Linked DNA regions of Tribolium castaneum. The protein of the gene in region 2 interacts with the protein of the main gene of each other region in a pairwise test. Links are inferred from orthologs where the notes say so. Each region holds a gene or a part of one and is shown on either strand. Other genes may lie near its edges. The genes, in order: Tctp and sau.

Region 1 (3,288 bases), on a different chromosome or scaffold from region 2:
AGGCCCGCGATCACGTCCTTCTCGCATCGCAGCAGCTTCCTGGGGGTGTCTCTGGCTTTGATCGTGTTCTCGTGCACGTTGCCGTCCGTCTGCAAGTACACATGACGGACTTCTGTGACTATGTGAACGTTTTGTTTTCGGGACGAGACGCACTCGCTGTAATACTTTGCACATTGGTAGCAAAGGGCCCAAGCGTGCTCTTCCCGAATCGAGGAGTTGAACGAGTTGAGGATGTCCTCCAAGCAAACACTGCCGTCCGAATTCACTTTACACTTGGCCTTTGCTGACATGTTTGTTTATTTCACACACAAACACGGACTTGCCCACTTGCGGAGCATTGGAGAACTGTCTTAACCTAAATAATCAATGCGGAAACCTTGAAACTGACAGATGCACCCACACACGTTATCGATCAAATGATGTGCGCATGCACGGGCAACAACGTACCAACCTAATTTAAAAAAACACTAAAACATTTTTACTTTCTGAACTCAAACAATTCAATTCAATAATTAGAAACAGGGTAGATGTAATAAAAAGGCCGTATTGGGTCGTAGAAAATTATTTTCGGTAAAACGCACAAAATTACAGTATTGTTACAGCCAATGTTCAACAAAAAATACTTATAAGGAAGTAATCATTTATTTCAATTTCCTTATGAGTATAATTCATAATTGTTGCCGCACAAAAGATTGCTCGTACAATTAGAATTTGGAAAGCAAGTCATTGTTTGAATCATGTTAGAATTTGAAGACAAATCTCAATGGAATTATAAATAAAATGGTATATATAACAAAAAGCAATAATTTAAACAAACTAAAATTTCTCCTCGTCCAGGCCGTGTTTGAAGAACATCATCACTGGCACAGAATTTCCATCAATTTCTCTGTATTCCATCAGACCAACCATTCCATCAATATCCATGGACTCTCCAGTGAAGAACTGGAGCTCCTTAAACCTCCCCAAAATATCCTTCATCACTTTGTTCATGTTGGTCTTGAAAACTTCTACTTGGTCGGGAGATTTCTCCTCCAATTTAGCTACCAATCTGGAAACAACAAACCAATTTGCAAACATTCAACTTTGCAATAAACTGTTGCAGAAGTGTAATAATGCGCTTGCGGTCGCAAACACTACAATAACTTCTTCAATAATTTTGCATGAATTGCTCTGAGTGCCCCACCGAGTTGCGGCACCCAGTATTAGTACATGCAACGGTCGTGCAAAAGTACTCACTTCTTCATGTAGTCTTTAAGGTACGCGGTGTATGACTTCTTATCACTAAATGCATAAGTTTCACATAGTCTATGATTCATAACAATGTCGACGCCTGACTGGACATTTTCGTCTGTGCCTTCGTCCTGTTCCTCAGCGGACGGGTTAGCCCCATCCAGCTGGATGTCTCCTTCCTTCCGCTGGATCAGCTTACCATAAACTTCGTAAACGACTTCATCAACTAGTTTCATTTTGTAAGTGTCAGAGAACATCTCATCGCCTAAAAATGTACATTATTAGGTCGGGAACCACATGCTAGTCCAACCAATCGCAAATTCTGCGAATTTACAGCAAAAGGAGGAACTTTCAAGTGTCATCGAACTGACAGATGGATATTTAAAGGTTAAATTTTTGCATAAAACGTCACCATTTTCCAAAAATATTTGCGAGAAAATTGAGAGAATCGCCACTTACCGGTAAAAATGTCCTTGTAAATCCTCATTTTGAAGGGATTGCTGTAGTTTTTCTTGAGAAAACTAAAAACGACCCGTCCGCTACAAGAACGCAGCAAAAAAGGTCGAAAGTTTCTTTGACAGATTCAAATTACACATCACGTGCGCGCGCATTGGCATTTGCCCGAAAATTCCCATTTACATGTTTAAAAAATCAGGAATTATTTTTTTTTACCTGATTTTTTTTTACCTGATTGAAGTAATACAAACAGAACTATAATCACCCTGACACAATTTGAACAATAATGCTGCCAAAATGTACAAGTGGTAAAAGCTTTTTCTGGGGGATTTGTTTAGAACGCGGCAATACGCGCTATCAGTCGTGACGTCACCTCCCCACTCTTATTACGGTAGGTCAGTTGCTCAAAGCTAAACAACCAGTCTTTTACATGTGGTGTAATACGTTTTTCGGTTTTTTGGTTGTGTTTGTGCGTTAATAACGTGTCAAATAGCTGCAGCGGGTGTAATTTGTGCCACTAGAGACTTTAATTTAATTTAGAAGTGACTTTTTGTGAAAATACGAACTTTATAAAAGAATACAGGGAACCACGTTGTCGGTGAGAAAGTGAGTAAGCTTTAATTATACTTTGAGAAACTATTATATTTATGCATTTTAGTGGCAGAAAAGCACATTGTTAAGTTTCACTTTATTGCGAAATTTTTTGGGGACGGTAATCGCTTTTTAGTTCGGGGAGAAAATGCTTTTACCAGCGGTCACGTCACCAAATTTAGGTTTGATGGCACAGTACAACCGATGAGAATTTCTGCAGAAGTTCTACCGAGCATGAAAAAGCTAAATTATACTGTGGAGGTTTGTATTTATTTAACTGTTAGACATTTCTTCTACAAAGTGTGTTTTAGATTTCATATGACCTAGAAGAAGGGGTTAAGACGGCACATTGTACCTGCCCAAGGGGCAACGTGGCTTGCCATCATATGGCTGCAGCATTATATTATGCTCATTATAATGTAAGTGCTACTGACATTGAGTGTCAGTGGAGTGCCCCATCAAAAACAACACCACAAACAGAAGTCATTAAGTTAGCTGATGTTTACAAGCCGAAATTATCAAACTATACGGCACTGTCTAGGTCCTCTACTGAGGACGAAATTATTCAGTTCCGTGCCGAAATAGGCGTCACGAATGTGGTGGGCTTCACTTGGCTCCTAAGACCAGAAGCAAGTGAAGAAGCCAGAAAAATTATTGCAGATATCGAAGAAATTCTACAAAGCTTAGAATACGTGCAGGCCATAGACAAACAAAAGTTTCTTTTGGAGAAGTGCAGAATAGATGAGGCACGCATTAAACTGGTTGAGGCGTGCACTCGGGGCCAACATGTTAACGAAAATTGGCATGTAGCAAGGAAACATCGTTTAACGGCCAGCAGGTTTGGCATGGTACTATCTGCTTGCAGTAGACGAAGATTCCCACCCTCTTTATTTAAAAATTTGGCGGAAGGCTATTCGCTTGACAGGGTTGCTGCTGTGCAGTGGGGTAAGACCCACGAGAAGACAGCGCTCAGAGAATTTGAAGAAGCGACGAATCTTAAAGTCCAAGAGA
Region 2 (4,305 bases):
AGAGTAGAATTATAATTTATAAAATAATAATAATTAGGTAATATTTGACATACATGAACAATACATTTAGTTCGAAGTTATGTACAAATAAAAGTTGGAGTACATAGTTTCCTGATGTCCGAAGCCTCTAAACATCAACGAAGCTAAACACCCTGTGTATTACCACTGAAACTGATTATCCTAGTCTAGCCTGTGTACTCCACATAGAAAAAATTTCCAATGTACAAACTAACATCACATTAAATACAAAACTGATAACTTCAATATTTCAACGTAATTTATTTATAGTTAAAATTTAGTAGCAAAAACAGTTTATTTTCATTTCGTGAAAGCGGCGAAAACGGCCCACAGTACCTCCGAAGTGTTTGGTTTGACTGATTCTTGCTCAAAGTCCAAGTCAAGTAACTCTCGTACTCGCTTTATTGCCAATTCGTAGTCGTCGTCATTTAGGGGCGCAAAAGCGTTCTCCAGAACGTCACTAGCATGGGCCAGGAAAATCAACGCCAACATCCGCTTGTCCATGCGCTGGGGGTCGTTCACCCACTTCGTAAGTACGGCATCCTGGATCTGAAAAAGCGGTTTTTTACCCCAAGCCCTCCGCCAGAAATTCAGACACACTTTGCTTAAATTCAAAATAACAAAGTATTTCCCGATCTCTAAAGGGCAAACAATAGTTAACTTGCTTTGCTGCCGAACCAGCTGAAATTTTGCATACATACGTAACCTCCGTGCTATTTAGTTTAATAAGTTAGTTAATTCTGTTAGGATTTTTTAAGACGAAACCAAACCCTTTTTTCCCACAGGAACTAACATATTAACAAGCTAAAATTCATACATACGTAATTTTGTGACATTACAATAATATATACATTATTTAATAATTTGTAAATAATTAACAATTGTAATTAATTTATCAATATCCTGGCCTTTAGTTGAAAAATGGGAATGGGACCAAATCAATTCCAAGTAAAAACACAGTACCCAAAAAATTTTTTGATGAGTTTTTTACATATTTAGCATTATTTTTACGCTTAGGTTCATTTAAATACTTATTAGCAATTCTTTTTCTAAATGAATAAACACTAACTGTAATAAAACATTCCTTTTCCCAAGGTAAAACACCGTATCTACAAAATGTCTTAGAGACAGTCAATCGTAGTCCATTTGTTTACGTAAAAATAACTCATATAGGTGTAAAAAAGAATACATTTATACAATAATATAACTTTTAATCGAACTTTTAGTTTATTATTGGCAATCTATTTTGCTTATTTAAAGCACACAGCAGCACGTTTCTTAAAGTGTCCATGGCAACATTAATAACATAATAACCCAAGAAAAGTGAAAATAAATACTAACTTTTTTAACATTTTTTATTAAAATGATAATCAATTCCATGGCAACGAAAGGTAAACTGATCTCACATTACATTATTTTCAATATTTGTAATATCAATATTTATGATTTCAAAGTGTACCAATAAAAAAACTAACGTAAAGTATTCATGTATAACTCTTTTACGAGCACTCCGGCTACGCCGTCGTGCTCGACAAATCCTGCATATTTTAAATACCTCAATATCCACTTATACTTTAATATCACGTTGTTTTAGATAATTTAATACTCACGTCTTAAACTGTCCTAAAAAAACGATATTTTTAAGTTAAACAATATGAGTAAAGAGTTAGTCATTCAAAGAGGCCGGTTAAATAAGTATTTTTTGGTCTACTGAAAGATTAAAAGCAGATACTGCATTTTAGTTCAAGGCAGTCGAATTAGAGACTAGTATTTTCCAAATATTTGTTATGCACAATCGGTGTCGAATATAATTTACACCAGAGAGTGTAAATAAATACAATAAACTATTCAATAAATAGGAAAAAATAAAGAAAAGGTGAAGAATAAGTTTTTTCTCAGAAACATACATTTGTGCTTATATCTTACAATTTTAAAATTTATAAAAGCTTTGGGAAGGAGTATTGCATAATTACCTCAGTTACACTCTTTCAAAGCTTTTACAAATTTTAAAAACTTAAACTATAAGCAAAAATGATATTTTCTATATACGACGATATAGACTACCCAGAAAACTTAACTAAAAAAAGTGAAGATTTTGAAAGTTGTGGACATAAATACACTTAATTATGTAAAAACGTAACGAAAACAAAAAAATAGAAATGAAGACAATGTAATTAGGGAATAATTCGCAAGTGTAAGTCGTATACTCTTCTTAGTACTTTACCTGCCTATCGTTAAAGTTCTACTTGATCTACTATTTAGTAGAACGGGGCACCCTTTACCACCTGCTGTATCAAAACGTACCTTTTTTATTAAACGGCTTTTGGTGACGTTATCGGTCAGAGGGTGCGTGGTCATATCAAACAGCAGAAAGTTTTGCTTCTCCGTTGTGAGAACCCCCTTCTCGACGAGGTTTTTCGCTAGGCGTTCCCGCACGTTCTTCAGCTGGTAGCGCAGTTTGAGGGGGTTCCAAGTTTCGCCTTAAAAGCACGCAATTAAGTGAACCTGGGGGCAGAAAGGGGCATTTGGAGCATACCGCTGAGGTACTCAATCCAGCTTTGAACCGTTTCTGGTGGATCTGTTTCCTTGAGATGTTTTAAAGCTTCATCTAGGAGGACGTCTCCGGTAGGTGTGTCGTTTTTGAGGATAAGTTTGCGGGTGAGGAGCGCCTTTCGGCGCATACCAGCCCGCTCGAGTTCCACACGTCCACGTAAACCTAACTCGATTAGAATACACCCCCGGAGACCGCTCGAAATGCAGTCGTTCCAAAACGATGTGTAACCCTTAAAAACGACACGGTTAGGTGTGGTGAGCACACGGGGGGCGAAGCCCTACTTCTTTGTCTTTTAAGCCTAATAATAATACTTCTTCCATTAAAGTTAATCGGGTTTCTTTGGAATCGCCCTCGTCTATGTCTTCGTCGTGCTCCTGCTTCTTCTCATTGTTCTGCGATTCTTTCACACCTTCACCTGAGTCACGTATTATGTTTCGTCTTTGCACCAGCCCTTCACTCCGATTCATTTTAATTAAATATCAAATAACTTATTTATTTTCTACAAGACTTGACGTTTAACTGACTTCCATCAACATGGCAAATGTCAAAAGCATGTAGGCTGCTGGCAGAAAACCACTCCGTCCGAAAAATCGACAAATTCGCTCACTTTCTAAGAAAATTATTCATTTCTAGTATTTAACAAACTAAACTAACCCTTCAAGCCTTTTTTTTGGATAAAAAATCAAAAATCGGGAAAAAGTGATTACGTCCTACGATTACGTCACGCTCTTATCAATTCCAATTTAATCCCTTTGTACAGAAAATCTAACAATGCCAAGTAATCAGCACCCACAATTTTTATGATTTCCCCACCACGGGATTTTTTCAAGTTTGGAAAAAATTGTTGTCGAATGGGTTGCATAACCCACCGTTTTTAACCTCACTTTTTGCCACCACATTATTTTATTTAAAAATGACCGAAAGTGATAAAGCCGAAGTTTTCAATTTTTTATTGGAGACTGGGTGTTGCAAAAGGTGCGCTTTACGCTACGTTGGCGATAACACAGCCGATTATGATAATCCACAGGTAAAAAAAAGTCGTATTTTCAACAATTAAAGGTTTTTTTTGTAGCAAAACGGACACGACCAGTTGGCGAAAAAGACGAAATTGAATTCGTGCATAATTTGTCTCGATTTGCTCCAAGATGTGACTCTTGAATCCATGGTTCAGTGTGAAGAACTGGAGGGTGTTAAGGAGTACGATTGCAAGACTTTTATTAATTTCATTAGTTTTCCGGTTGCTGTTCTAATAAGGGAACACAGCATGGAGATTCATATGAATGAGAAGTTCCCCAAGTTTTTTGAAGGTTGTTTGGTTTGCTTGTTGAAATAGTTGAAATGCTTACATTTCAGATCGTAACATTGTTCCAATAAACAGGGCATGGTCCTTGTCAATACAAAACAAACTGGGCGAAAAACTTGGCAAAAAGTTCAATAAAGATTCATTGCTCCAAATCCAGTTTAACACGACTTATGAATTTGAAAAAGAGGTAACGAAAGGACTAACCACTGCTTGTTTAAAAATTAATAAGTTGTATTAGGAGTCGTCAATTATGTTTCTGATGGAAAGTAGACTGAAAAAATCAAATGGACAAAACGAGGGTCTTAGTCGTAACGTAATCGGGGAGTTTTTAAAGACAATAAACACCGAACTTTTCAAAAAACATGCCGCTGTCCCTCCGGAACCGCCCGGGAAAGCTTTAAGTTTCGACCAAGTGGCTTACAAGCACGAT

The links.
Region 1: the proteins of sau (region 2) and Tctp interact in binary tests that used the Drosophila melanogaster proteins (3 or more experiments, as listed by UniProt). The link is inferred for Tribolium castaneum from reciprocal best matches to the Drosophila melanogaster genes sau and Tctp.

The regions. Positions count from the first base shown.
Region 1 is NC_087398.1:7,081,452-7,084,739, forward strand, and holds Tctp (translationally-controlled tumor protein homolog), read right to left. Parts: upstream 1,850-3,288; 5' UTR 1,718-1,849; coding exon 1,690-1,717; intron 1,496-1,689; coding exon 1,237-1,495; intron 1,049-1,236; coding exon 817-1,048; 3' UTR 547-816; downstream 1-546. Other genes in the region: spir (protein spire), read right to left, coding at 1-290; uncharacterized protein LOC135266299, read left to right, coding at 2,292-2,292, 2,345-2,538, 2,589-3,288. UniProt on the Drosophila melanogaster protein: Involved in calcium binding and microtubule stabilization.
Region 2 is NC_087403.1:8,423,432-8,427,736, forward strand, and holds the start of sau (Golgi phosphoprotein 3 homolog sauron), read right to left. Parts: upstream 3,040-4,305; coding exon 2,854-3,039; intron 2,802-2,853; coding exon 2,555-2,801; intron 2,499-2,554; coding exon 2,323-2,498; intron 568-2,322; coding exon 319-567; 3' UTR 1-318. Other genes in the region: tRNA pseudouridine synthase Pus10, read left to right, coding at 3,486-3,599, 3,645-3,879, 3,926-4,062, 4,114-4,305. UniProt on the Drosophila melanogaster protein: Phosphatidylinositol-4-phosphate-binding protein that links Golgi membranes to the cytoskeleton and may participate in the tensile force required for vesicle budding from the Golgi.